Rhinolophus ferrumequinum: one gene and its partner. The protein of the gene in region 2 purifies or fractionates together with the protein of the main gene of each other region. This does not show direct contact. Links are inferred from orthologs where the notes say so. Each region holds a gene or a part of one and is shown on either strand. Other genes may lie near its edges. The genes, in order: ANAPC1 and L3MBTL1.

The links.
Region 1: the proteins of L3MBTL1 (region 2) and ANAPC1 purify together in Homo sapiens (affinity purification with mass spectrometry; 4 studies listed by BioGRID and IntAct, counting the BioPlex papers as one, with this or other methods). This does not show direct contact. The link is inferred for Rhinolophus ferrumequinum from reciprocal best matches to the Homo sapiens genes L3MBTL1 and ANAPC1.

Annotation. Positions count from the first base shown.
Region 1 is NW_022680356.1:575,910-591,108, forward strand, and holds the start of ANAPC1 (anaphase-promoting complex subunit 1), read left to right. Parts: upstream 1-7,745; 5' UTR 7,746-7,957; intron 7,958-9,847; 5' UTR 9,848-9,871; coding exon 9,872-10,084; intron 10,085-11,085; coding exon 11,086-11,247; intron 11,248-15,199. UniProt on the Homo sapiens protein: Component of the anaphase promoting complex/cyclosome (APC/C), a cell cycle-regulated E3 ubiquitin ligase that controls progression through mitosis and the G1 phase of the cell cycle.
Region 2 is NC_046306.1:13,772,986-13,788,477, forward strand, and holds the start of L3MBTL1 (lethal(3)malignant brain tumor-like protein 1), read right to left. Parts: upstream 6,764-15,492; coding exon 6,628-6,763; intron 6,462-6,627; coding exon 6,235-6,461; intron 5,888-6,234; coding exon 5,746-5,887; intron 5,449-5,745; coding exon 5,298-5,448; intron 5,162-5,297; coding exon 5,029-5,161; intron 4,626-5,028; coding exon 4,544-4,625; intron 4,058-4,543; coding exon 3,969-4,057; intron 3,465-3,968; coding exon 3,360-3,464; intron 2,467-3,359; coding exon 2,331-2,466; intron 1,994-2,330; coding exon 1,902-1,993; intron 832-1,901; coding exon 680-831; intron 273-679; coding exon 196-272; intron 1-195. UniProt on the Homo sapiens protein: Polycomb group (PcG) protein that specifically recognizes and binds mono- and dimethyllysine residues on target proteins, thereby acting as a 'reader' of a network of post-translational modifications.

The DNA of each region.
Region 1 (15,199 bases), on a different chromosome or scaffold from region 2:
TCTCTCTCTCTCTCTCTCCCCTCCCCTCCCCCCACCCTGCAACCTCCCTGTGTGGCTCGAGGTGTGCAGTGTAATTCCCAGGCCTGTAAATAAAACCCACTGCCCCCCACACACAAAGTTTCCCAAAGGTTATTACTGAGGAATGCTTTGCAATCATCATAAGAACCACAAGGACTGGTCTAGCCACAACATTTGTTACTGATAGGCTGAGACCAGCAAAAAACATTAGGTAAGCAACTTGATTGAACTAGGTGAAAATCATTACACATAAACATTCTGCCACTCGTTCCCCTGCCTGCCCCCCACCCCCACCTCGCCGGACTTCCATTTTTGTGCTTGTATGTTTACAAGCCTGCCTCTGGGCATCTCAAATTTTGCAGCTACCTGCCACTATCAAGTGCTTTTCAACTTTCCTTGTTTTTTCAATATTCTTGCTTTCCATGTAGGGTATCTCAGAGGACTTGTCTCTGGTTTAGTTCTATCATTATTATCTCCCTAATTTCTTATCAAACAAGCATTAAAGATATAGAACAATTAGATCCAGATATTTATCCTCATTCTGTGGAGATGCACACATATCCAGAAATATGTATGGTGTTTCTTGTGCTACCCTTAAAAAGAATATTTAGTATTGCCTTGTTTTGATAAACTTTTGACCAGGAGTTTCCATAGAGAGATTTTGTATCCAAGCATGCTCTCCATGAGGACAAAGTCCAAGAAAATGCAAATGCAGTAAATGAGATCATTTTAAGAACCATTTCCACTTGTGCTGTCAGTCCTTCAATGCTCTGCTCTCAGAATAAAGTTTGAAATCCTTAAAATGAATTATTTGACTGTTAGCCATTCTGGTGGGTAAGAAGACATATCTCACTGTGGTCTTGAAAATGTTGAGCACATTTCCTGTGTTTATTTTTCCATTTGCATATCATCTTTCATAAAATGTTCAAGTCCATGGTCCACTTCTTGTGTTGTTTGTAGGAATTCAGTACATGTGATTCAGCCTTTGTCAGGTACATGCAGTATTTTCTCCCAGACTGTGGACAGTCTCCTGTTTTATGCAGTGACCTTCACTCTGTTCTTAGCTCTCATTGCAATGTGGGTTTGCTCCTAACATGACAGCACAGCCATTGTCTTTTCTTGTATAATATCATGAAACACAGGCAGAGTATAACACGCTCCATACGTGTCAGTGTGAATTTGATATGTGATGTTAACATTGTGGTTGGGATTTTAAGATTGAGCAGCAGAATTGTTGTGGACAAGTGTTAGATGCTTCCCAATACGTACACCCAGATTTTTGTGTGAAGAACTGCTTATTCCTCATTGTGTAGAAGCAATGTGACCCATTTATTTCCAGACCTAAGTTCTATTTTTTTTTAATTAAAATCTATTGGAGGTGACAATGGTCAACAAAAGAGACGTAAGTTTTTTTTGGCTTAACCTGATTCCTTTCTATCTCGTGCAGTGAACAGGTCAAGAAGTGTGTGACTCAGTTTGTCAAAGGAGGAGAATAAACTCCGTGATTTGTGCAGAACGTATCACAACTTACAGGGGCTGACATGCACTTGCTTCTGCTAAGCCACGTATGTTTGGGTTTGATTACTTGTGACCAAAACACCCAACTACACAGTGATTTTGTAATTTGTGGTAGAGTTTATAGAGATGTCCCTGACTCTATCTTTATATCAAAAGTCAACAGTGACACTGACATTATGCTATCTATTCAGTCCCCGCTTTCTCTGTTTGTCCAGTGTTTTAGTCTCACCATCTATCTATACACTATTCTACCCATTCATTCATCTGCCCAGTCCTGTGATCTCTCCATTTTGTTCTTATGTCCACTTCCTCTCTCCTTATCTCTCTTTTCTCAATTCATTCATCAACTACTTTCATCTTTTTTGATTGATTCTCTCAGTTCATACATCTATGCATTATCTCATACATGTCTTCAACACAACAACAAATACTTTTTTGCATATGTACATTTTAAAATTCAACAAGGATGGTTGAAAACAAAAACAAAACAAAAACTATAGGGCAATTCATTAAAATACATGCAAAAATCCTAAGTGCAAATTTACTCACAGCAGTATTACAAAGGAATAGCACACTGAGAACAATTAAAGTTCTACCCAGTAATAAACATTCAACATTAATGGAATTCATACAATTAACAAGGGGAAAAGATGCACTTCAACAGAAGTCAAGAAATAGCTTCACCAAATCTTGATAAAATTCTGAGCAATTTAGAAACTTTTGAAGAAAATATTTTTTAATTTGATATAGGGCACGAATTGAAAATGTACCACAGACATGATATTTGCTGTGACAACATCAATAGCTTTCCCACTGAAAACAGGAGCAATAGAAGAATGTCCACTGTCTACACTAAAACCACGCCTTAGATTAGCAACATAAACAGAAAAGGAAATACTCCTATGAGGGCTAGAGAATGAAAAAGATACATGTCTTAAAGATCACATGTCTTAAAAAGTGCAGAGAATCAACCCACACAAATAATAGGAATCAAGAAGTTAGGTCAAGATTGATCCTTTTCATATACAACAGAAATAACCAGTTTGAAAACGTGGCAGAGAAAACGATTTCCCTTTACTGTAGCACCAAATTCTATAAACTAGCCAGAGCTAAGAGTGACCAGATAATGTATTAGCCATGTGTAGTATATATTGTATTAAACACATATATTTTTTATTATGTATATCAATCATATTACATGTGCGCCTGGATCACATTAATAAAGTGATGAGTAAAGGACAAATGGAAAGATAGAGCAGATCTGTGAGTGGGAAAATTCACAATTGCAAATAACATTCGTTTTCCTCCAAATGAATCTATAAATTCAACACATGGCCGGCCCAAGTTTGAAGTATTTGTCATAGCATTTCCACCACCGATTCTAATGAAAAAGTCTGCAAAAACAGCCTCAAGAATATTTCAAAAGGCAGCAATGAGGTGAGAACTGTGCGACCGGGTATGAAAACGTGAAAAAGTCTAGCACACTGAGAGTATAGCATTTCTTCAAGAGGAAAAAAAATCAGCGACATATACCAGGGGGTTCAGAAACAGAGTGATTTATATGTGGGAACTTAGAAAATCAAAAGGTGACACTTCAGGAAGGCAGCGTCACGGGGCCATAAAACGTGCCTCGGTTTTTGTCCCTCCACCGCCAGTGACAATTCAGGAAGAAGAGGAACAGTTCGACATGTGTCCATGGAGCAGAGCGCGTCCGCGGGGGCTGTGGGATGAAGCACGTTCGCCGGGCCGGGAGGAGCCTCGCCCACCCCTGCGCTGGTAAGAGGCAGACAGACCTGGGTCCCTGGGCCCTGGAACCGGGCCCTGCGGAGGCCCTGAGTCAGCCTTAGCCCCGCCCCGCCGCGGTCCGGGAGCCCCTGGAAAACAATGTCTTAGACAGTCACGCACGGAACAGAGACTTCCTGGGAGGGAGCCCAGGTTCCCAGCGGAAAAGTTCCAGTTTGAGCACTAATAGTAATACGACAAGTTTGGCTTCCCCAGCCGCTCGGGACTGCACCCCAGGGGCTGGCTTCTCTCTTGGCCCATCCAGAGGACTGACTTGTGAAAGGCATGAGGGAGGCGGGAAGAGGCAGGGATTGCTGCACGTAGGACTCTGGGAGGACACGAAAGGGATGCGGATCCTATTAGCTGCCTTGCCCGGGGACCCCCGGTGGGTGCGCGGCACCGCTAGTGTTCCGCCTGCCTCGCCCACCCCCTCCACCCCGCGGCCAGCGCCCTCTGTGCCCTCCACCCGCCGCGGCAAGATCGAGCTCAGGCCGAGGGCTCCGAGCTCCCGGGGAAAGCTGGCCGTTGTCTCCCGGCCAGGGAGAGACCGCAAACTTGAGCTTTAGCGCCACCTTTGGGAGAACAACCTACATTTTAGAGGTAAAACTATAAAATTTTAAGAAAACAAAGGAGTACATATCACAAACGATCGTGGACTTGGCGATAGATTCTTAGGTACCACCTCTAGAGCACACGCAATGACAGACACAAGGTAAGTGGGAATTCATAAATATGCCCAAATCGTGTCTCCGAGGGCACTATCAGGTGGGAAAGGACAACCCATGCAATGGGAGGAAATATTAGCAAAGCAGAGATCCGTGAAAGGTCTAGTACTTATACAGATAAAGAGCTCTTGCAACGTCTGATGGTTAGTGTTATGTGTCAGTTTGACTGGGCTATAGTACCCAGTTATCTGACCAAACACATCTGCAATCAATTGACTTTGGAGGTTGTTACTCTTGAAAATGGGGGTGGGTCTGTACTCAGCTGAAATCCTTAAGAGGAAAAATTGAGGTTTCTTGATGAAGAAGAAATTATGCCTCATATCACAGTACAAAATCTTGCTGAGCTTTTAGTCTGCTGGTCTACCCTACAGACTTTAGGCTTGCCGAGCCCCATAAGGACAAGAATCATTTCATGAAATAAATCTCTTTATATGCGTTTCTCTGTGTATGTACATGTGCATACATACATATATGTATAAACACACACGTATCTTCATGCTAGAAATATACATGTTCTTTCTCTCTGGAGAAGTCTGATGGATACAGGTTTTGGTAAACAGGATGGTTCTAGAGGAATAGAACCTAAAAGATGTGTTTTCTCAAGCAATCCTGGATCTTCTGGAATTGGTTCTCGAATCTGATTAAATATAAAGGCACAAATGACCGTATTGCCAGTGTTGAAGAAGGCATTGACAGTCCATAGTACAAGGTGGTAATAGAGATATACAAAGGATCACCACTGGATGGATATTCCTAATCAAATATGTATTTTTAAAAAGGTTCTAGGTGACTATGAATTTGATATTTTAGATCATGTTTTACAAACTAACAAATGTGGCAAAATTAGGTGATTGCTCCTACTTGCACTTGATTGAATAAGAAAAAGGTGAGCTCAAGGTGTTCAATTTCCAACGCAAGCGCCCCTCAAATGCCGAGAAATTTCTATATCTTCCCTGAAACTCTTGAGCACTAATATAACTTTAGCGCTGAGATGTTTGAAAACCTAACTCAGTCTCATCCTGCAAGTGGGTGAATTACAACCAAAATTGAATGTCTGTCCACATGGCAGTGAAAGTGATAGCGATGATTTAGAAGAAATAGGGTCCTAAAAGTTGGAATGGGGACACATGGGTGGTTCCTGATTAAGCGGGGACATTGAACTCCAAGACTGTGCAGGCTTCTTTGTGCAGAAGAAGCCCTCCCACTCCTGCCTGAGGAGCTTGCCTCTGCTTCTCCTAAATCCACAAGGATCACCCCCGAGGTACTTGCCTTGCAAGGCTCTATTACCCTGCTCAGGACCTGCGCCCACAGCCCTTTTTGCTTCCAGACTTGTTAGCAGACTCAGCTTCCAGCAGGTTCCAAGAGTGCGGTATAGACTGTGACCCACGAGGACTTCAGCTACACTCCAAACGAGCTGCACCCTTTCCCCAGTTCACACAGACAGAAATCTAGGAAAACTGTGGAGAAATGAGATGTTAAGGGTTTGGGATGACAGTGGAAGGAACATGCAGTTGGATTAGGTGCAACATACTGCTTGGGGCCCATTATGCAGACATGGTCTTCAATGTCATATCTCAAGGGGGTACAAAGTCCTCTAACAGCTTGTTTGCTGGATTGGTTTTGACATGGACCAAAAGGCACAGCACACAAAATGAAACTCAACTGCCTTGGTACAGTGAAGAAGGTGTCGGAATAATCACTCTACAGCAGCTCAGAGAACACAGGTAAACAATCTGACAACAGAAGGAAAACAGTACAAGAACAAATCGAGTTCAACAAACAGACAGAAAACATAAAAAACGTGAAAAAAAGAACCAAGCAGATTTCAGAGCTGAAGAATGTAGAAAAGCCAGATTTCAGTGATATGCCACCCTTGCTACAAATGTGCATCTCTTCGGAGTGACTGTCAGTTAACGCTGGGCCACTGGGTGCCCAGAAATGTGGAGTTGTCCCCCCTCGGCTGCATCACATATACAAGTATTGCAGGATCGGCATTCAGGAGCTTCCCAGTCCTGCAGTGGAAACCCTTTGGCATTCTTGCCTTCCCCCTGGCTCTGATCTGTATCGGGGGCCATCCACCCCATCTGTGCTCATGTTATGGCGGCCCTCGCACACTAACACAGTCTGTTGGGACACAGGGAAGAGGTTCCTGACAGCACTGTGGAAATGGCAGCAGAATTGAACCATGTCAAGGTCCAACAGCAGTAAAAGGCTGATTCGCTGAGAAAAATGACCTCCTTTATGGACTATTAAGGAGATGAATAAGGCCACAGCTCCTGACCTGGCCCACCTACCACACGGTTCGCTGTGCTCTGTGAGAGGACACGTTGCAGAGAAATGTATCCAATACCTTAATCACACACCATTTTTTGTACAAACCAGTCTACCAAATGTGATGATGCATAAGGCTTGGAGAAGGTCTGCAAAGACAGTTCAGCTGACTGTATCACAGGATACCTAGGGAGGTAAACAGTCAAAATTAGCAAAATGTAAGGACAGCATAAATGTTTTCCTCTACGATTCCAACAAACAGGTGAAAAGTGTATTTCTACCCCACCAGGCAGCTGGTGGGAGGAGAGAGGAACCAAGACCATGGCCCTGGCAGATTCAGCATCTGGCGAGGGCTCACTTTCTGGCTCATTGACGGCTGTCTCTTTTGCTGTGTCCCCACTTGGTGGAAGCGCTCCAGGGAGTCCTTTTCTTTATAAGAGCCCTAAGCCCATTCATGAGGGCTCAACCCTCAGGACCTAAGCGCCTCCTGAGTGTTCCACCTCCAAGCACCATCTTACAGGGCTTTAGGTTTCAACATAAGAATCTCGGGGGACACAGCATTCATTCCTCAGCAGGCTCCTTCCTCTGGGAGGGAAGCCTTCTGAGAAGAGGCCTATGAGCTAACCTCTGAAGGTTGACGTTGCTAATGAAGGGACAAGAATGAACACACACACCAAGGCCTCAGAGTGCAAGGTGTGTTTGGGGACTTCCAAGAGACCACTTTAGTGCAGACAAGAAGTTTCAGCCAATTTTACATTTCTGGATAAAGAATTTGAACTTTATTCCTTAGGCAACAGGATGCCTATCAATACTTTTAACCCAGAGATACTGCGCAAAAGAAGATTAGAACTCAAGGAAATTTTCTAGTTTCCTTAAGTGTGATATTGTGCAGTTAAATCCAGACAGGGAGGGCTGGGTAGAGCTGGGCTTCTTAACCCAGGTCTAGGAATCATGGGGATGGGGGGGCAGTAAGGGGGGCAGGGGTGTCTGGGAAGCTCAGAAATCGCAGGCAACGTTTTCGTGAAGGCATCCATATCTTTCATAGACTTTTCAAAGGGTTCAGGCCCCTCATGGTTAAAGAGAGAAAATCAGCAGGTCTTCTCTTCTCCAAGCTTGGAGAGGCAGGTACCTCCCATTGGGGAGTCAGTATAACTAGCAGGAAAGTCCCCTAGTTCAGAGTTAGGAGGCAGTTCAGACTCGTACTGACACGACTGGAGAAGATGTGAACGCCAGGAGGGTCTTGTCACAATAGTCCTGCTTCCAGGCTGGGCCGCTGCCCTAAGAAGGAGGTACCCTGGCAGGTAGGCCCCAGCATCCTTCCTGATACTCACTGCACAAAGGACCGCAGCTTCGCGCCTCCTGGTGAGGCTCCGCCCCTGAGGCCCCGCCCCGCTAGGTCCTGCTCCTGCTTGGCCCGGCGCGAAGCACGACGGGAAGCCAAGATGGCCGCCTCCATTTGAACTCTCCAGAGCTTCTCGCCTCACGCCCGCCTTTCCTCAGGTGCTGCTCACTCTTCCTCCAGAGTAGGGAAGGAGGGGGGAATGAGAAGCTGCAGCAGCCGAGGAGTCCCGGTGACCGACTCTGCCGCTGCCCTCGGGGAGCAGCCGGGGCTCGCCGCGCCTGACGCGTCCTGAGTTACTCAGGTAAGGGCCCGGCCGGCGGCGACAGGTCAGCGCGTGTCCCCTGACCCCCGCACCTGTCCCGAGGCCGACGGTGCGGGACCGGAAGGGAGGACCCAGCGCCCGGGGGCAGCCCAGCTTGCGGGCTGGGCTCTCCGGCGCGCCTCCCCGGGCTGCACGCGGGGTCCGCGTGCGGCCTCAGCTCCCAGATGGGCCCCTTCCCCTGCGACGGGGCTTTCTGAGGCCCAGGTTCTCAGCGTGTTGTTTTCACTGACCCCTGAAGACCTGAAGAGGCGGAGGAAGCTCTGCCTTTTTGCGGAGACTCAACTCGGGGTGCCTTCGCAGGGCCTTTCGGTGTCTTCTTGAACCAGCTTCGCGGTCGCTTCTGGGAGGGTAGCTTGGTTTCTAGTGAGCACTGATGATGTCTTGATTCTTAGCACGTCAGTTTAATATAGTGCTTTTATACGTGTGGCTCCTTACGTTGCCCCCATAAGTAAACACATACAGGTTTGAGGTACAGTGAAAGTATTAAACATGTTGCCTTAATCAGCACAAGATACTGTACTGTAAAAATAGTTCTATGATTAATAATTTTGTAATTTTCACTCAAAATTTTAAGATGTTGGTCATCCTGTTGACTAGAATATAATAAGAAGACCAGCTGAATTTTATTGTTTTCTTGTAAGTCTTCCGAGGCACTGTCTCAGTCATATTCCAAGTATAAGTGTTCTCAGTACTGACTTTTAGCAGGAGGAGAAAAGTGTCATGATTGTCATGTACAGTTGTCTGAGGAAGAAAGTTTAATTAACAGCAAAATAAATGCAACGCTTGCAGAGCCGCATGGGGACTCCAGGGGCCTTGACATATTGCAGCAAAGAGCCTGAAAGACCCCAGGGGAGAAACTAAGTTAAATTCAACTCTTTTTAGTGTGAATGCATTTCAAATACTCATTTGTGCTGACATTAGTGTTTGTTTTGATTTCTGTGTTTGAGGATTGCAGCTTAAATGTGATGCCACAAAACCCGTTTTTCACATAGGTGTTGTCTCGCAGACAAAACTAACATCCACCTCCTACATCACATTGTACAGTGTCAGAATTTGACTGGCTGCCACTTCCTGTTTGTAGAAATGTTTTGAAAGTAGAGGGGCTGGTTTCCACCCACAGCTCATCCACACCCTAGTAGTGATAAAGTGAACTGTACTAGATTATGTTAACTAGAAGATAGAACTCTTAAATTTGCAAGCAAGCATGACTGTTTCATGGACAGAGCTTCCTTAGGTTCGACCAAAAATTGGAATTGATTATGGTTATATGTTTAGTTGGATCGGGGTGTCAGAATTACTGATGACATGTGATAGCTTATTAAAGCAGTGGTTTAACTTTTGATGAATTAGAAGAAATACGTGAGTTCTGTTTGCTTGTTTGTTTCATTTCAATATGCCAGTGATCCTTTATATGCTTTTCAAATGAGATTCCAGCATCTGAACAGAAATGATGTTAAATGTCGAGAGCTGGGAAGTCATCGGACTATGAAGTACAACTTGTCTAAATACCTCAATGTGAATTATAGAAAAATTAGTGTATAGTGGTAGGAAACATAGGATAGGTATTGTGGGATGTAAGTGCTAGTCTCATCCCAATAGTTTCCTACAGTGGTAACTGTTGATCTGTTTGCAACAAAAAAGGAACTGTAATGTTAATTATGGAATGACAGTGTAACTGTAAAATGATAACTGCAATTACCTGAAAAAGTCAGATCTGGAATGTCCATTGACACAATGATCACTTGTACATCTACAGTGTGATAGAATTATGTGACACTTACCTAAAAATTAAGGACTAGTAAACTTTCATGATATTTTTTATTTTGTTTGACTCTAACATCTGACCAGAATGTGTTTCAATTCATACAGAAATAATGTTGATATTTGGAACCCATGTCGAACTTGTATGAAGACAGGGCAACAATGATTGCAGCCGGGGACTTGCAGGAATTTGCTCCTTTCGGTCGAGACCACTGCAGGCACCACCCTAACGCTCTGAACCTTCAGCTTCGCCAGCTGCAGCCAGCCTCTGAGTTCCGGTCTTCGGATGGTGCTGCTGGCTTGGTGGGATCCCTTCAGGAGGTTACAATCCATGAGAAACACAAGGTTCCGTTAAGTTTCTCACTCTGTTTTTGAAATGCAGAGTAATGTGTCCACTTGTAATTTAAGGTGCCCAGAGGCAAGTGCGAAATGAGTATGAAGCTACTTCTCGGGTAGAGGCTAAGATTTGGTCATTTTTATCAAGGCTAAAAATAATGAGTTTATCGTGAGAATCAGTCTGATTATGGTCCATTTTCAACCTCTTCACTTGGAATGTGGAGATCAGATTTCATGTTATTTGCTGATTAGATAGTAGAGTTAGGAATGGTCCCTGCTGCAAAAATCTTGTGTGTGTAGAGGAGAAAAGAAAAGCCACTGAAATAGCTACAGTAGTAAGTACTTCTTAGGTAGGTGCATAGGATGTCATTGTGTGTGTCAGAAAATCAGCCTTTCTCATCTTACTCCATTTTCATATCCCTTTTGGGATACAAAAATCTCAGGGAGGGGAAGGGTATGCAATTAGCAATCTATACCTTTCTCTCTCGCTTGTTTGGACCGTTGGGACCAGGGAAGGAAGGTGAATTGTCCGTGCACTTGGGAAGCAGGGAAGTCTGCATGGCGCATAGGCTCCCCTGGTGTTCCCACATGTGCCTCACTGGCCCTCCCCATTACCCCCCAGATACTTACTGTGTCTTTATAGTCTCCTAAGCTCTTGGGTTTCATTTTTCAATATACAGGTAAGGTGTGATTTTTGTTTGTTTATATTTTAGGCAGCATAATGTAATACTCTAATATAAAACACATACTATAGACACTTCGTGTGTCAGTTCTTGCTCATGAAATCCTTTTATGACAGATAACCCACACATCCACACACCCCACCCCCCTCTGTCCATCTGTGGCACCACACCTTCTAAGAGTTGGGCTGAGAGTGAGTCTTACTCCTCAGGCAAAGACAGAGTGGGATGGCTGTTTGATTTAATTAACAAATCTTGCTTCATACTACTGAAACAGAAAAATGAAAAACCCATGCTTGAACATGTCTAACAACTGTGTTAATTTTGAAGGAAAGCTGGCAGTTAAGGAAAGGTGTAAACGAAATTGGAGAAGAAGTGGATTATGATGAGGAACTCTACGTGGCTGGAAATATGGTGATTTGGAGCAAAGGAAGTAAAAGCCAGGCACTGGCTGTTTATAAAGCGTTTACAGTGGACAGTCCTGTTCAACAGGTGAGTTCATTTGAATTTTGCATTTGATTGACTATTTAATACTTTAAAAAAAGCTTTAGTCATAAAATTTAAGAGAAATGATGAAAAAAGCATAATGATCTCAGCAGCTGGGTTTCCAGTTGAAAATGTAGTGAAGATAATGGTAGGAAAAGAAAATTTTCAGTATCACTTTTTTTACACGATTCCTTGTCAATTTGGTGATAATCTTTAAATACTCTCCTTGTGAAGTAATTCAATTTAATATTGTCAGTAAAAACTTGTAAGACATTAAAGGTACAAGAATAATGTAACAATGATGATAATTGACTGCAAAGCACTGAATAAATAAAATTCACGTTCGTAGTAGTGCTTAGAGAGAAACGGAAACAAACTAATTTGCCATCGTTGCACTTGGCTGTTACACCTAACTCTAGTCTAAAAATTGATAATTTGAGGGAAAGAATTAAGCGCTTGCCCTGCTTTTTAAGGAAGGCATGCAGTTCATCTCCATTATTTATAGAAGAATGCCAGCTAATAAATGTAGAAGGAATGGTAGAATTAGAAAAATCACTGTTTTATACCCACCAATGTCATCGTTGATTGAGACAAGGATTGGAAATGGATACAAATGCCACTGGGTGGAAGGCTGTTAGCATGGCCCCAGGGTGTCACCCTGTGGATTGCTTGTTGAGGAAAGGGAAGAAATGTGTATCTACTGTGGAGCTATGTGTGGGTCTCCTCCTCCACCATGTGGTGGGGTTTACCATCCCTAAGAGGGGGACAGAGGAATCTGTGTACCTACAGGTGTAATGTAGCATGAAGACATGATGGCAACTACTCAGTTTTCTTCCCCCGAATGTTTGACCTTGTTATGAAGACCTAACTTCCAGTTATAGGAAACATGGGGACTGGAGGATTGATTTGTAAAACATCATGAGATAAGGCAAGGGTTGGAGGTACAGAAGAAACAACAGCAGCCAGAAGTTGATAATTATTGAAGCCGGGTAACGGGGATTCAGTAGGTTACTCTGTTTACTTTGTATATATTTGAAATTTTCTATAATAAAAAACTTAAAAAAACACCAAGAGGAAACAATTAGAGAAATCCAGAGTATGGGACAGTCCACATTGTGGTCTCTTGAAGGAGTCAGTCATGGAGGAAAAAATGGTGGGGACTGTTCTAGATTTGGAAGAGACTAAAGGAACATCACCAAATGTACCTTCTTGTTTTTTGTACCTTGTTGAATGAACTTTGATTGAATCCTGGTTCTAGAAAATTGGCTAAAAGAGACATTTTTGGGAAAATTTGAAAAAGTTGCAAATGGACTGGATATTAGGTGATATTAGAAAAATTATTTTCTCAGACGGCCGACGTTTTTGTGGTTATAGGAGAATGTCTTTGTTTCTGGGAAATGCGTGATGAAGTCTGTAGGGGTGAAGTTTCATGATGTGTGCAATTTTCAGATCGTTAGCCCCCTGCCCCCCCCCAATCCCGCCTGTACACAAGTGCACACATAGAAGCACACATGGCAAAATGTTAATAACTTAGATTGAAGAGACACAGATGTTCATTGAACTATTTCAACTTTCTTTCTGAAAAGTTTTAGAATTCAAAAGTTGGGGGGAAATGAATACATTTATAGTAGTTGAATTAATTCTTAGGCTATGACGAGGTTTTAAGGCCTTTTGACTAGGGTTAAGTTCCTTACTGGTAAACACTGAAATCTTGGTCCCTGGACACTACTTATTAGTTTTTTCCCCCACTGACTATTTCCTAATGAACATCATACTCTTCTAACAATATTTTGGGAATTATCTAAGATTTGAGGTTATATGTAAAATCATTTCTGTCTGGGGTTGTTGAAGCCAGTGATGCTTTTGATAATTTTCTGTTATGGACGCATATAATTTGTGTAGATATGATGATGTCCAGACAGTCGTTTGCTCCTGTGTTTCCGTCTTCATTTCTCCAAGGCACGACTGCCTCTTTCCTAGGTTCCCTGGAGGTGCAGTGATGTGTATTGTCTCCTTTCTGTTGTCTCCTTTATCTTAAGTCCACTGTGGGAAAGAGTTTGGCGGTTCCTGAAAACGTTAAAGCTAGGATCCCCCTGTGATCAGCCATTCCCCGTGCAGGTATACACACAAAAGCATTGAAAGCAGGGACTCAAACAGCAGCATTCACAGCAGCATTATTCACAGTAGCCGCAAGGTGGCGACAACCCAGGTGTCTGTGGACAGATGAACGGATAAACAATACGGGGGACATGCCTGCAAAGGAGTATCTTTCAAAGGAGTCCCTTAGAAGTGGGATTGTAAGCTTTGTAAATTCAGTTCTTTTGCTCTGGAAAACATGATTATGTAGACTTCCTGCTAGTAAATAATAATTTTATATTTTGGTTAGGTATTATGTGACTGAGATTTAGTTTACGCCTTCATTTATTCTGCAAGTGTTTAGTGTCACTGTCTCAGACAGTGTGCTGGGTGCTGGGGCGACAAAGACGAATCTACAGTTTGTGCCATGGAAGACCTCATGGTGTAGAAAGGTGAGCAAATAGACAGATACACTGAAACTGTATTCAGATAAATGGAAGTGCCGTGTCATAGCTGTGTGTCCACAGTGTGCTGAGAGCCAGGGGGCGGAGCTCTAAGGGAGGACTTCTCAAAGAAGATGCTGTTTGAATTGGAAGCTGGTAAAGAGGGCCTTCTAGGCAGAGGGAATCACAGCAAAAAGAATTATGGAAAAGCATGGCTCAGTCTAACTTCCAAATGGCTGCACACAGGGTGTGGGTGTGGAGAGGAGCTCGCAGGTGCTGGGTGGGACCAAAGTGAAGAGGCTTATATGCACCTGGGAACTCGGATTAGGAACTCAGAAAGAACCTAGCAAGGACCTTCAAATGGAAAGTGCATCGTCAGTTGTGTGTTCTGAGAAGATATTGCTTTGGCGGCAATAGGTAGCATTGGCTGTGGATTGGAGAGACTGTTGTCTGGGATACTGTTTTGTGACAGTTCAGGTGAAAGAGATCGGCGCCCGGAATAACGGGAAGACAGAGGTGAGAGACAGAGCTGAGGGACCTGTGCATGGAGCTAATGATCTCTGAGTCGTGGGGTAAAGGGGCGTGTGCAAATGCTACGTGGTTTCAGAGATGGGAGGATGGGACTTCATAAAAGGAAGCTGAGACGGTGACAGCTTAGACTCTGGACATTTCAGATCAGAGTGAAGCTCTGATATAGGTTTTTCATTTGCTGAAATGCCGTTAAAAACTCCTACAACTCAACAACAACCAAGACAACCCAATTAAAAAGCAGGCGGAGGACTTGAGAGGACATTTCTCTAAAGCAGATGTGCAGATGGCCAGTGAGCTCGTAAGAGGTGCTCAGCCTCGTTACTCATTAGGCAGATGCAAATCCAAACTCGGTGAGACACCACTTCTCACCCACAGGGACGCCTGGTATTAAACAACTGAGGAAAATCACACGTGTTGGTGAGGAAGGTGGAAAGTTGGAACCCTGTGCATTGCTGGAGGCAACGTAAAAAGTCCACTGTGGGAAAGAGTTTGGCGGTTCCTGAAAACGTTAAAGCTAGGATCCCCCTGTGATCAGCCATTCCCCGTGCAGGTGTACACACAAAAGCATTGAAAGCAGGGACTCAAACAGCAGCGTCCACAGCAGCATTATTCACAGTAGCCACAAGGTGGCGACAACCCAGGTGTCTGTGGACAGATGAACGGATAAACAATACGGGGGACACGCCTGCAAAGGAGTATCTTTCAGCCTTTAAAAGGAAGGAAATTCTGAGGGACGCTCACGCTCCAACGTGGTCGGACCCTGAGGATGTGATGCTGAGTGACATAAGGCAGATACGACAGGACACGCAGTCTGTGATTCCTCTTTCATGAGTCCTTTGTGTAGGCAAATTCACAGAGACAGAAAAGAGAATGGAGGCGGGGGGAGGGAGAAATGTGGAGTTTTGTTG
Region 2 (15,492 bases):
TCCTGCGCCCTTGCTTGGGGGGTGGGGTGGGAGGGGAGGTCATCTACCTGTCTTCCCTTCAACCTCCACATAGTCAGGGTTTGATAAGACTCTCCTAAAATCAAAGAGTTCTCATGTCGCAGACAGGTACGAGATCAGGGAGAGGGGTGTGGAGCCTGGCCTGGGAAAGGGCGTTTGCTGAGGCGGCAGAGTCACCTTGTGGAGGGGTGAGGGGCTTTCCTTGCTTCTGGCACCAGCCCACCGGGTGGATGTAGGGACTGCTGGGATCACACCTGAAATCCAAGGATATTTCACTGTCCCGAGTGAAACGTGGAGGCCCTGAGCCTGCCGTTCTATGACAGTATGGTATCAGGTCCTTCCTCATTCTACTTCTTAGGGAAAGTTAGTGGGCTGATGAGAAAGTCAGAAAACTGCAGCATTAACTAAAAACGCTAACAGCACCCCCGCATATCGAAGGGAAAACCATGAATCGCAGGGGTGGGCTCCTCTTGACCTTGGTATTTTTAGACGAACCTCTAATATTGAGTTGTTTCTGATACAGATCAAATCCACAGAACATTCAACAAAAATGAATGTCAGGGCTGGGTCGGGGCCACATGGTGCCTAAGGTTTGAAAGTCTTGCCTTCCACCCCCCGCCACCCTCTCACCCCCAAGGCCGAGTCTGGGCCCCCCCACTACCAGTAGTCATAAGTATCGTCCCAGTTGTCAAAGTGCACCAGGAAACGACTGTCCACCACGTCGGTCACACTGGCCACGCAGACGAGGGACGGGTTCATGCGGTCGACAGCCTCCAGCTTCATGCCCACCTGGAAGCCCAGGGGTGGGGGACTCTGGGGGCAAGAAGAGGGGCTGCCATGGCCAGAGCCAGGCAGGCTAGTGCTAGCCCAGAGCGCACTGGCAAGGATAAGGCGGGGGTTCTCTCGGGGTCATCCTGGGGGTTGGGGGCTGGTCAGGGGAGAATTAGGCAGAATCATAAACCCCAGCCCCGCGTCACTCAGGAACGTCTGGCCCCCAAGGTGCACTCAGAGGAAGCCTCTCTCTGCAGGAGGATGAGTGAATGGCAGGAGGCTACACCTTCACCCAGCGTGTGCCAGGCTAAGCGCAGCCTCCCCCACCCTACAAGCCGGCTGTCATCATCCCCATTTAAAAAGTTAAATAACTTGCCCTGACCACAGTGCTAGTCAATGGTGGGGCCCGGATTTAAAGTTTGACTTAAAAGTCTGCATCCCCTGTCACAATAGTGGGTAGAACCACACCAATCACTTGGAAAACTGCGAGGACAGTCTCTGGGGCTGGATTGGGGGAGGGGGCGTTGGGAGTAACTGCCTGAACAGCACGGTGGAGTCCCTGACCCAAGGGACCCTAAACTTTCAACAGTGACATTTTTAATGGGGGTTCCCCATATCTCTCAGACCTTTTGCTTGGTTGAGATTAGGAGATACTTTAACTGCTGGAGAAAGCTGCCAGCTGCCTTTAACAGGGAAAAAGGTGACGGGTTGAGCTGCTGGGACTAAACGGCAGAGCCTCGATGTCGGGCAAAAGGAAGGAAAAAGCAGCTCCCAGAATAGATAGGGGCTTGGACCTCACACCAAGAACTGCAGAGCAAACCAAAGCAAGAAACAAGAACAAAGACATCTGAGAGCCCAGGCTGAGCTGGGGGGCCAGATACTCCGAAGGGACACATGGAGGAGAGGATTTCTGTAGAGGGAACTGGGGGAGAACCTACGGCCGGCTTCCCGCTCTGGCCTTGGCCTGCCCCGTGTGCCCCTCCCATTTGGGATGAGACCGGAAGAGGGTTGAGAGCACCAGTAGACGAACTCTCCTCTGATGAGTCAGAGACCTGGGCGGGCTGCAGTGGCTCTCCCTGGGGCGGGTGTCCACTCTGGCTCTGGGGACTCACGTGGCTCTGGTTCACAAATAGGTGCTTGGGGGCAGCCTGAGCTCTTGTGCTGCGCAGGTACTGGCTCCAGCTGAACTCCTCTTCCTTGTAACCTAGGCCCCTCAGGGGGCGGGGTGGGTGTGGATGAACAGAGTGCCATGCAGACAGAGGCTGGGCCGCGGCGAGGGCACCCCACACTGAAGCAGCAGATCGGGCAGGCCTGAGGACCCCACATCCCTCAGAAACCTGCCCAGGGACCCATTGCCGAACCAGGACATGACCCGGGTGGACACTCAAAGGGCAAGGGAAAAACAGAAGCCCTGGGGCCGAGTCATAACAGGAAGTAATGAAGAGAGGCTGGGTGTGCATTGGGGAAAGGGGAGACCAGTGGAAAGAAGGGATGGGTCTGTGGGCCACTGCCTCGCTGTGACCAACCCACCTAGGCCTTACCTTTGGGGGGCTGCAGCTTGTGTCCAGTCTTCTCGAACCAGCCAGCGGGGTGAATGTCAGGGGAGTTGGCATTGATCCAGAAGTCGTGGCACTCGGAATACCCGTCAAAGTGCAGACGTAGGCGGTAGCCACACACCTGGGCCCACGAAGGGGAATCACATGGAGTCCGATGCCAGCAGACACCCACTCCCTTTCCCTCACCTCTCCTGCCCCGCCTGGGGCTGATGCTAGCAGGTTCCCCACCTCTCTTCGTTCCCAGGTTTACCCCCATGCTGAACCTTGTCCCACACTCCCCTATTCTGTAACGAGGACAGTTCATGTACTCGTTCTGGGTATACAACAGATACAGTCTATGACACCCTCCTGCTGTTCTGAGACCCAGCCAGAACCCCGAGGGCACCGAGCAGAGCTCAGACCTGTCCAGAGCCCCGATGCCCTCGCCTGCGGCTCCCCACTCACACACTGCACTGGCCCCACTGAGCTAATTCATGGCAGCTCCTTGGACAGGTGGCCTGTTCCCAGCCCCAGAGCCTCTGCTCATTTTGCTGGTTCTGCCTGGAACACCCTACTCATTCCCAACTCCTCTCTCAAGACTCAACAATGGAGGCCCATCCTCTGGGAAGCTTCTCCTGCCCCCGCCATGTCTCTCTGTGCATGCCTGTCCCACACCTGTGGCATGTCACTGCTATGTTTATTTGGCTGATTCCCACACAACTAGGAGCTCCTAGAGGACAAGGGCCTTGTTGGACTCATGCTAACGTCCTGCCCTCGTGACCTCCTCAGGTCACCCCAGCACTGAAGCACACACTCACTCAGTGCCACCACCACCCCTCACGCTTCGTCTGGATTTTGTTCATTTTTCTGGCTTTCTGTGTGTGCCACCTTAATCCCCTATTAGATTGTGTGCTCTCTGCGTGCGGGGCAGTGTCTCCCTCCTCTGAGTCCAGGCCCTCCATGCCCCTGGCGGGCTCCATCGCTCGATCTATCCTGAGAAACATCACCAACACAGTGGTGCGAACCTCAGCTCACCTCGGCCACGGTGAGGATGAAGTACATGGATGGGTGCTGAGGGTCGATGCCTTCCAACTTCATGCCCAGTCTGAAGCCATTCTTGTTCTGAGTGACCGCCTGGTACTGTCAACGCACAGATTGGACAGGACCCAGCTTCCATCCAGTCTTATCCTTACCTGGTGAGCTTGGGGTGAAGGAGCGGCCTTTAGGCCTCACCCGCCTGGTACTACAAAGGGATAACTTAACTGGGGGTCTAAGTGCAGGGATCCCGAGGGGGATAAAGAGCTCCCAGACCCCTTGAAAATTGTGAGCTGAGTCAGGGCTGGACTGAACGTCTCCCTCTCACCCAATCATTGCAAGATCAGCATACACCATTGAGTAGAAGGTGCCAGAATTCAAAAGTCTGCAGGCCTGGTGATGGGTTCCACCTCTGTATTTCTTCCCACCCTGGAAGCCCCTTAGGGTGGGCCCTTTTCTACTCTGGGTCCCTAACCGATCTCTCCCTTTTCCATTCTGACAGTCCTTTAAGGGGTATCAAACACAGAAAACACCAGAAGGCCTGAGTTTGGTGGCGAGTCCCTCAACTGGGAATACAAGCACTTCCTAGGTGGAAATTGTCCCACTCACGTCCTGGAAGAGGCTGACCGGGGCAGTGATGGCCTTCTGCTCCTCCAGGTATGACTCCCAGGACCAGCCTTCCTTCTTCTCCCCTGACACTGTGGGCAGGAGACAAACAGGCTGACACGGAAAGTGGAGATGGTAATGGCGAAGGCCCAAGGGCCTGAGCTCATTTTGACGAGCCTTGTTCCATTTTTCTTAGAACCAAAGGTCAGAGTGGGGGCCCAAACAGCAAGGTCCGGCCAGTGAGCCGTACAGACTTGCTCACACCACCAAAGGGAAGCAGTATCATGTGATGCCATTAAAGCTATTCGAGTCTTTGAATACTTAGCCTGGCAATAAAGCCTACTCACAACTGAAGAGAGGATAAACAAAGACATGATAAAACCCCCAAGAACACATAGACACTAATGCATAAACCAGAACCATTGTCTTTCTCTCATTCTCTGTCTCTCTCACATTCTAACTCATGATCATTTATATGTACACAACACACCATCACAACCGACAGCCACTCTCCCAGCCTCACACCTCCAAATGTGTACACACACGTCACATGAATATGTACACATAGGCCACCATACCAGGCTGGCTCCTGCTCCACTCCTCACTTTCTGGGGTGTGAGCAGTGGGTTGTCCCTCTGGATCCTTTCCTTCTTGCTTCTCCTGTGGAAGGGAAGCCTGATTCCAGATTCCTGTCCTCCTGGGTTGGTGAGAAGCCCCAGTCTCTATTCCTGGCCGCTGTCTGGCTCTCTGGCCACAGGTGTTTTGCCCCAAACAGGTGGAATTTCTTCTAGGCCCCCGGCAGGAACACAGCTCCAGCAGACCAGCCCCTACCACTTGGACACAGACTCACATAAGCGACACAACCTGACTACAATTCCCCTCCTTCCCAGGTGGGGAAACAGGACACAAACACCTGACTAAGGATGAGACTCCCCAAAAAAAATGATGATTGAGTCATTGTCTTCTCTGGCCCCACCCCAAGACCTGAATTGATGGAGGGAATAGTAGGAATTGAGGGATAGCATCTAGCCCCCCCCTTTCCTCCCCACAGCCCTCTTCCTACCACGGTGTCTGGCTCTGACTCCTCCTCTGAGGGGCTCTGGTATTCCCTGTACTTCCTCTTCTTCATGGGTTTGAGGAGCTCAGAAGTGCTGGTGCACGAGTTCTGGCCAGAGGCATTCTCCACTATGACTGACCTGAGGGAGAGGCAGCCTGAAGGAAAGAACCACCCACCCACCCGGCACCACCCAGCCCCTCTCCTAAGCCAGGAACTGGAATGCAGCTTTGGGACCCAAAAGCAGAGCAAGTAGAGTGGTAAACCCTGCCCCTTACCGCTCCTGGAACAGCTGGACGCAGCCATCATTGGAGGAACCAGGATCTGGACCAGAGCCTTGCTGAGGCTCACATGCCTGGCATTGACAGTTGCCATCATCCTCTCGGGGATCCTGAGGGGGATATTCTGGAGGGTCTTGGGGGAGATCCCCTGTGGGGACCAAAGGGGCCTCAGGCCACCCACCCCGTCCCAGCCACACCTAGGCTCCGCCCACGTCGGCGCCCACGACCCCGAGGCCCTGCCTCCACCGTGGTCCCAATTCCTCTGCCTCCTCGACTGGACAGGCCCCTGCCCCCCAGCCTTCTCCACCTCAGGACCAACCCTTGGGTGCACGTGCAGGTACCCGGGGCACGCCCCCTTTGGTCCTGCCGGGGATCGAGGCTCCTTAGGGAGCTCAGGCCTAGATCCAGCCGCGCAGGGACCCAGCTCGGGGCCTGGGGCTCCTACCCGGCTGCTGAGTACTCGCATCGCCACCTCCCGCGGAGGCCTCGCTAGCTTCGTACTCCGCCACGCCTTCCTGCCGCAGCTCGGGGCTCGGTGGGTGCTCTGCTCCCACCATGTTCAGTGGCGCATACTCGCTAATTCGGAACTGGAGCGCAGGAAGGTCTGAGGACGGCGACTAGGGTACCGGCCCTTGCCCCACCTCCAGTCCGTACCGGACCCCTCCCGCCGCTTTATTCAAGCCACGCCCCCAGCAGCCCTCAAGACTCCGCCCCTGGCTGCCCAAACCACGCCCCCAGACACCTGCAGGCCTCGGCCCCAGGGTTCCTCACTCCAAGCCACGCCCCCAGAGCACCTCACTCAAAGCCCCACCCACTGAATCCTTCACCTCGACCAACCTCCTCCACCTTCAGTCTCAGGCCCCGCCTCCGGGCCCGCAGGCTCCGCCCCACAGCTGCGGCTCGCTAGGCCCCGCCAATCCCCAGAGACACTGACCCGCAGGCCGCTCCCAGGAGGCGGGACCGCGGCCTCCGTCCACTCCAGAAGCCGCACTGTGCTGACGCTAGAGCTGGCCGCCGGCCCCGCGCTTAACTGCGGCAGAACGGTGGCCGTGACAGGTATGCTACCGGTCACTCGCTCAGGGGTGCCCACATGGATGGGATCCCGCGGAAAGCAGGACACATCCAGGGCACTGCTGGGCAGGCCAAGGGTGGCAGAGGTGGCTGCGAACAGATACACGGACACAACACAGGTGAGCCTGGTGGCTCTGCCCCAATCCTGCCATGCATGTGTGTACACAAGTGAAAAATATCATCTCCTCCCCAGGATCCACACCTGCTTGGGCAGGTATGGGGATGCTCCTCCTCCCCAGGCCCTGGCTTGGCCCACCTGGAATGATGAAGGCCGCAGTGGGCAGGTGAGGGCTGGAACCTGGGCTGTCTTTGGCCACCAGATGCACGCTGACCTCCCCTGTGGAGGACCCCTTCAATGTCCTCAGCATCTCCATTTCAGCATGCCCCTCCATCCTGAAAGGCCTACAAGTGGAACACAGCCTCTAGGGTGATCAGGGAGGGAGGGGGCTTCTTTGAGGAGGAGCTGCCCACCCTCAGAGAAAAGCCTCAGCCCTGAGGGGACTAGATATATTAGGAGCTTAGCATTAACTCTGGCTACTGGCTGTAATCAGATCACTCAGGGGAGGACTCGGGCCAGGCCCTACATTTCTCCCAGTCTTGTAAGGTAGGCATGTGTGAGGGTGCCTTTGTAAACTGACATACAGAACTGACTCTGGGGAGAATGTCTCAGGCCAAAGTTCTGTCTGGCCAGCTGTCTTCATGACATAGCCCAGGCCAAGTCCAAACTTCCCTCTTTCTCAACCCCGGCTCCATTCCCACTGGAATCACTCCCTTCGCCCTCTGGGGACCCAGAGCCCTCAAGCACCATGTTCTCCCTCACTGGTATGTGTTCTTTCCCACACCCTGTCCACCACGCCCTCCCCAAGCACAGTGGGCACTCAAACATCTGTTGAATAAATGCATGATTCTGAAGAGCAAAGAGGTAATATATGAGAACCCAGGCAGTGCATGATTTTGCTTTAATAAAGCAAGGGCGATACTGGCATTTAATAAAGAGGTGTTTGAACTGGGAAATATAGGAGGGAAAAAGACCTAATAAATATATTTAATATACTTCAATATCCATCATTACTTAACTGCCAAAATGTGTGGGCCACTGTCCTAGACGCCTTACTAGTACTGTTCAGTAGAAATTTCTGTGATGATGGAAATGTCCTGTACCTACACTGTCCAACACAGTAGCCACTGGCCACATGTGGCTACTGAGCACTGGAAATGTGGTTCGTGTGACTTGAGGAATGGAATTTTTAATCTTATTTAATTTGAATTAATTTAAATCACCACAGTGGCCATAGTCATGTATTGGACAGCACAACTTTATACATATCATAATTGCCTGTTGCCTCTACCTCCAAAACATATCTCAAAGTCTGACCATTTTTCTCCATCTCATTGCCACCAAGCTTGTCCCAACCACCATCAGCTCTCCTTGGACTTCAGAAATTGCCTCCTAACCCATCTCCCTTCCTCTTCTCCTGCCCCTCTACAGTGTATTTTCCAGTAAGAGAAAGCTTTAAAAATGTCAACTAGATCACATAATTTCCCTATCCAAAATTCTTCACTGCCCTTAGAATAAAATCAAAGTGCTTTACCCTATAGAATATAACCCATCTTCCTCTCTGACCTCATCCTCCACCCTCTTCCCCATGTTCGCCACCCTCGACAGACTCTGGTTTCTACTGCTTGACACATGTTCCCACCTCAGAGCCTTTGTTTGCCCTTGCTGTTCCCTCCACCAGGAATGCTCTTCCCCAAGCTCTCTGCTTGGCTACCTCCTTCCCATCCTCCAGGCCTTAGCCCAGTGGTCACCTCCTCAGAAGGTCTTTCCTAATCACTCAATTTAAAGCAGCACACCCCTCACCCCTTCTTACTACTGCTTAGCTTATTACAGTGCTTATTTCCTTCACATCCTTCATTATAATCGATGATTGTGGGGACAGAGCCCCAGAAAGCAGTTTCCAGGCTCTCGGCCTCACGTGGAGGGGTGCTGGCTCGGGTAGTAGATGGCCGTCAGCTGTGGCCGGTTAGCCAATTGGCCACCGATATAACTGCCGCAGCTGCATTGGAGGGTGGAGTCAGTCGGTTGGCAGGCAGAAAAACAGACAGCAGGTCGCACATCGTGTGAATCCAGCCTCCAGTGAGACTATAGTGGTATGACTCCCCTACCTATGGCTCCGTGGGTGTTCCTTTTTGGCCTAGCCACATCCTGCATTCTTATGTGGGGAGTGGGACTAGAGACCCCGCAGGCCGCCTCGCACGACACATAGTGCTGTGAGCAGGATCTCCCGCACGACAATGATCTTTATTTGTGTCTGATCAGTCATCCCCATATAAATGTAAGTTCCATGAGGGCAAAGACGTTATCAGTCTTGTTCACTGCTATCTCCCCAGCACTTAGAATGGTGTTGGGCACTCAGTAGGTCTTCAATCAATTTGTGTTGGATTTCAGTAATTTAAACTTGTTAATAAAAAGCACTGTGTTGATACCTGGTTGCTTTAAGGTGTTAGCATACAGGTTTTTGGCATACAGTTCAAAGGAAAGAACATGGGCCTAGACTTAAGACAGTTAAGAGAGTATGAATCTCCACTCCACCACTCAATACCTGTGACTCTAAGTAAACAGCTTACCCTCTCTGAACTCTGTTTCTTCATGTGTAAAATGAACCTGGTAATGATATCTACCTCAAAGGGCTTTGATGAAGATCAAATGAAAAAAATAAGTGAAATCTTGATACCAGCACACTATTTGATACCAACAACTACTAATCCACTCCCTTTTAAAAGAAATTCCAGGGAAATTCCAGGGAGCTTGGTAGTTTTTCTGGCCAGTAACATGTAAGCTGCTTGCTTGCAAAATCAGTTTGCAATCATTGCTGTCTCTCCATCCTGCTGTTCTCATGCATTCATTTATTTTCCAGCTTTTCCTCCTTAAAATACAGAGTCCATCCTCCATATCATTGAGTATATAATCAGGTAAGCAAAGGTGAGATATGTCATCTGCTTAATTAAGAAACATTCACACCAAGGTCTGTTTTCCCCTTTTTTAAAAATTGTAAAATTCGCTGAATTTCAATTCCAATTATTTTGCTTAGCACAGCTGACATAGTTGTACCATTTTAAATTCTTTTCAATAGAGCCAATCTTTTTATTCAAAACATTGGCAGTCATTAAGAGTGAATGTGGTTACTCCTGAAAGAATTCCATTCTGTTTCAAAACATGTCACATGTTTCAGGTCTATCAAGGAAGAACGATGAAAACGACTGCCCTTATGTTCAGGCTTGCTGTCTTTTCTTCAGCACACATTGGAGGGTCAACTAGGTGACAGCACCATTCTGTGCTCTGGGAATAAATATAGTCTCAAATAAGACAAAGTGTGCTCGTGAAGCTTATGTTCTAGAAATATGGAATAAGGTTAAAGCTGGAGATATAAATTTGAAAACTGTCATGCATAGATGGCACTGAAAACCTTAGAACTGAGAATCAAGAAAAAGGTGGGAACCTTGGAGCTCACCAAGACTTATAGGTTGTGAAATGGAAGATCTAGCAAAAGACTTAGAAGGAGCTTGCAATGAGGTGTGACGGCACACAGAAGAGTCTGGTCTTCTGGAGGACATGTGAGGCAAGTTTTCAGAAAGTGGGACTGCTCAAGGGTGTTACATGACATTGACAGATCAAGTCAAATGAGGGCTGAGAGCTGACCACTTTAGCAATAAGGAGGTCATCAGAAACTCTGACGAAAGCCATTTCAGAAGAGCTGTGTACACAAAAACCTGATCCGAGTGGGTTCTAAAGAGAAATCATCGATTAAGTTCAACATTTACTGAGCACCTAGTATGTGCCAGGCACTGTTCCAGGCAATGCCGATTTGTCAGTGAACAGGGTCTACATTCTAGCGGGGCAACTGACAAAGAGGATGGGTCCTGTAGAAGAATGGGAGAAAACAAACTGGAAACTATGGGTCTAACAATTCTTTCAAGAAGCTGGAATGTGAAGGAGAGCATGCAAATGGAGGTTGGTATTTGGAGAGGGATGGGTCTCAAGGAAAGGTTCTTTTTGTTTGTTTTGTCTTTTTAAAATAGGAAATGTTACAGCATGTTTGTAGCTGATGAAAATGAGCCTATAAAGAGGAAGACACTGACAGTGCAGGAAAAAAAGAATAATTCTAGATATAAAGAAGAAGCCATGTCGAGACTGGCTATGGAAGTTTCATACAGGTTCTTGTATGTACGATACACTTCACAATAAAACATGTTTAGAAAAAAAAGAATAATTCTAGAAGACAGGATCTTGAATGTGCAGGAGCGGAGAGGAACTAATGCACCCGTGGTGTTGAAACTCCTAGCTAGCAGCACCTACTGTTTCCATTCTTTCTCCCCAACTAGACCATTAGCTTTTCTGAGGCCTGGAACTGCTTTCTCTCTGATTTGAATTCACCCCTCCTTTACCACTACCACCCTGTATATTTGCAGCTCACACAGCATTTTCATAAGCGTTTTGTCACTAGGTCCACACAGCAGCACAATGTGTCTGCTATGGCTCCCAGGCCTGAGCCAGGTACAAGAACCCCACTTCTGTGGTGGCTTCTGCACATGCTGTTCCTTCTGTTTGGAACCTTTCCACATCCCATATTTCTGGAAAATTCCTAATCATCCTTCAAGATCCAGCTTAAGTGACACCTCTTCTTTGAAGCCTTCCCAGAATCCACCCCGGAAAGTTCATCACTCCCTCTCTTGTGCTCCACTCCATCACAATCTAGCTATATGCATCAAGTGCTCTGTCTCCCCCAGAGACAGAACAAAGCACCTGATGTGCAAAGAGCCTGATCCAGAAAGTACACTCCACAAATAGCCACTGAATGAATGAATCAGAGCTAGGAGTAAAGAGTGGTAAATGATATAAGAAACAAATGGTACTGAGATCCATAAACGGGGTAGCCATTCTTGCCGCAGGGGCTAGAATAGGCACTCTTTCCTCTTTCAGTGCAGCTCAGGGGCTGGAGGTAGGAGATACAGCGGGAGATCCCAACTACTGTGAAGGCTGTCACTGGTAGCCCTCAGCTGTCAGCTTCTCTCAGAATTGCCCTCAGCCAGGGGAGCTGCCTCGCCCAAGTGCCCTCTCCTGGAAGCGGGTATCCGTGGACTAGTTGATACCGGGTATAAAGGCTCCGCCCCCTTGCCTCAATTTGGGACACCTCTGCAAAGCCATCTCAGCTCCAGAGCTTCGTTTGGGACAGGCTGAGGCCTCCGTTGAGACTACCACGGCAGTTCAATTTCTCCCTCTGCCCAACCACCCTGCTGTCCTCAGTCCTCTACGGGTGATATTTCCGAGGGCACCCCCATAAACCTACACTCAAACCTCCCTCTCAGAGAGTCTGTTTCCAGGGATCTAAAACATTGGATTCCCAGCCCAGAGCGGTGTCTGGCACATAGCACGTGCTCAATAAATATTTACTGAATGAATCTGCCGCGGTTATTTTTTTCTCTCGGTCTGTCGGCCAAGGGTTCCCCCCACCCTCTCCCCTTCGAGGCCTCGTATACAACAGACGCTCAATAAATGCCCTCGCTCTAGGTGGGGGGGTGGGGAGTGAGCGCCGCAGATAGATACCCCCTACGCAGCCGGGACGCCCCAGGGGGTGGAAGCGGGTTCCAGGGTCGCGACCCGCCTCCGCCTTCCGAGTCCTCCCGATACTAGTATAGACTGCGGTGGGCGGGGGTGGTCACTGATCCTTAGGTCCCGCAGAACGATTACTTTTTAAAACTCCAAAATGGCGGAATTCTTTTTATTCTTTCCCTTTATAGCAAAAATCATCATCATCATCATCATCATCATCATCATCATCATCCAATTTCCCGTTATAAAAATCGGAAATGAACGGAAGGGAAGAGAAAGTTTGCCAAACGACCCATTTCCTAAGAAAACCGAAACCCCGCCCTATACTACACCGTTCCTTCCATTAATGAAAAACTCTTAATTGATTGCATTTCTCTAAACACGAAGCCTCCTCCCTCTCTGCTTCCAAATCGCGGCCCGCAGTCGCACCGCAGACGCGCCCGCGTCGCCCTGGAACCCCGCACCCACGCGGCCCTCCGCACTCCGCCAGACCCTCTCCCGCTCCCGCTCTTGCGAACCTCCACCCCAGCCCGCGCCCCCCGCCGGAGGCGCTCGGAAGGAGCCTCGAACCCGGGCCGCAGACCCGAGTCCTCACCGTGCGAGGCTGGGCCGGTTGGCGCCGCAGCCCCACACTCCCGGGTCCAACCCCATGGCCCGCGGATTCCCTACCTGCGAGGCCAGCCTGTGGCCGCCCAGCGCGGAGCTACGGTCGGAGCCCCGCACTGCACGCGCCTGCGCGCGCTGGGGGGGCGGGCCCGCCTCCCTGCAGGACGCGAAGCGCGGACCGCGTTCGGCGCGGGTTTGGGGGACACCGCCCGCGGGCTTCGCCGCGCCCAAGCCTTCTTGCCTTCCTGCGAGTGCCGTCCGCGTGGGCCTAATGTCCCCTCTCCGCTAGGGCCAGACTGCTGCGCGGGCTAGGCGGGTGGAGATTCTTGCTGCCTCCCACCCCCTGCATCACAGCCAGCAGCACGCAGCGGTTGTGGGGATCACCGAGCCGGAAAAGGGAGCTTGGTGGGCCCCCAGGCTGAACGGTCAGTGGCAAAAGACGAGGCTGCACTGCCGCATGCACCCCGGCCGGGTCGCTGCGCTGTCCAACGCCTTCCCACCGTGCTTGCTCCCCCACCTGCAAAAGGGAATCCAAAGGAGCGTCCGAAAAGGCCTTAGGAGGGGTGAAGCGCTGTACCACCGGGGAAACCGAGACCGTGCGCGGCGCGGGTTCTGACCCTGGCCCTGCCTGGGTTAAAAGTGGCATTAGCCGCGCCTGCGTTTGGATGACCCCACTGCCATTGGCTGATAGTGTGACATGGGGCACAGCACTTTATCCTCCATTGCTTCATTTGTGAAGACAATCACCCACTTCTTGGGTTGTTTTCAGTAATGGTTCCTGTTGTGGCATTGCCCGGAGCATGTCACTGCTCCTCTATGCTTCAATTTCCTGGGCTGATCTCTCTGCCTCCGTAAGATCTAACTAGTCAATCTCCTTTAACTGGTTTCTGTAGCCCAAAATACCTCTCTCTTACGCATATCACAGAGATTTGTGTAATTCACGAGGTCAAGAAATCGCAAGTTCCAAGATGGAAGGAAGAAAGGAAGAAAGGAAATAGTTCTTTTATCCCTAGAACCCAGCACAGAGGTGGGTGCTGGGTGGGTGCTCAGTAAACATCTATTGACTACATGATGTATTGCATGCAGATGGAAACAGAGCAACTCTTAGTACATTCCAGAGCCCCAGTCCCCTTTCCCACATCAATGATTTAATCGAATCCCTTATTTTTCAGAAAAGGACATTAAGGTCCATGTGGCCTACGGTTTAGGCTCCTGACTTCAAGTTCAGATGAGAAAAGGGTTCTTAATTAATTGTAGGCAAAATCCCCAAATTGTTGTGATCATCAGGTTTAAATTTAAGCAGACTTTAACTATTCTGGTTACTATGCCGGTGTGTTGCATGTGCTCTTCCTAGCTGCAATGTGAATTTTAAATCCCTTCTCGTATTATTGGGAACAGGATTGCGTCAGTTGAGGATGCTGGTTGCCATAACAATAAAAGTTTCTTTATGCACATCAATACACACACCATCCGCTCCTTTTTCTCTCATCTCTACCCAGACTGTGCTTGTTCTGGATTCCCAAGGGTTTATTTTAGGTATTCAGAAGATTAAAAGAAAGTGGTGAAACTTACACAAACACATGGCTTCTCAATAACATCCATCTTTGAGAGGGTGATTAAGACAAACAAGCAGAATCTGAGCTGGGGGACCCAGGAATGAACAATTAACACCGATTTGACTTGCTGAGACATTTTTCTGATCATTAACAGTATGTTGGTGTTCTTTATTCCTTTGGTGGGCTTGCTTGCTTTGAACACCTTCAGGGATGGAGAGGCCCGCCTCCTCCCCACCCCAAATTGATGAGATCTGGGGAAGGTTCTGCCTCTTATATGGCCAGTTTGCTCTGCTGGTCCAGTGTACCCTTGGGAGCAAGTTAACATGTCCAATCCTTTCCTCAACGCACAGCTCCCTTCTACAAGTTAATAGTCCCCAGTGTCTTCTCCAAGTTAGCCTCCTGCTCAAGAACAGAGCCCAACATTGAAATGTTGATGAATAGAAGCCCTGAGAAAGCTATTGTTTGTAAGCAGCCCACACCTTTCTGTTCCTGTAGATTTTAATTTACCATTGGGGTAGTCCATGTATTTTAAGAAAATCATCAGGATATGTATGCCCTTAATATAAGTGTGGAAACACTTCTGATTCCAGCAACTTTGCAAACTTTGGTAATATGGAGCCCTTTCTTCTAGCACAAACACCCCAAAATCCTGGATAAAGTATTACAAAGAAGCAAGCAAGCCAAGGAAAGAAGGAAAGTAAAGTGAACTTGCAATAAGAGGAAATCAGCACGAGTCAGAAACTGAGGGAAATAGCAAGGAGGGGATGGCCTGAAGTCTCTCCCTTGTCCTGCAGGTAGTTATTGGAGAGAAACCAGCTGCTAGGGACTTGGGTTTCATCATGCACATAATGACAGGAGATGGGATCTTGGGTCCACGTGATACTGAGTTGGAATTGAACCCTCTATAAACTTGTGGGCCCCATGGTGGGAAAAGCAGAGGAGGCCCAAGTTTCCACCCAATACGGTTCACTTCGGGTCCTGCTTTCCTCTCAGCATGGGTGTATGTTACCCAGCACATCACAGACTGACAAAAATTTATATTTGGCTTTGGGCATTGAAGCTTGTATTTGTAGCCACTAGAAAAAATTGTCTCATTGAGGGCCAGCACCCGCAGCTATTTCCCGTACCCCAAACCTGCTCATATCTGAACCACGTTCTCAACCTGTTAGGATTCATGTTTTATGATGCTGCTGAGGCACCCAATGAAAAAATCAGTTGATCCAACTGTATTCATTTTCTATTGCTGCTGAATACACATTATCACAAGGTTACCGGCTTCAAACACCACAAATTTATTCTTGTAGTTCTGGACATCAGAACTCTAACTGGGTCTTCAAGGTGTCAGCAG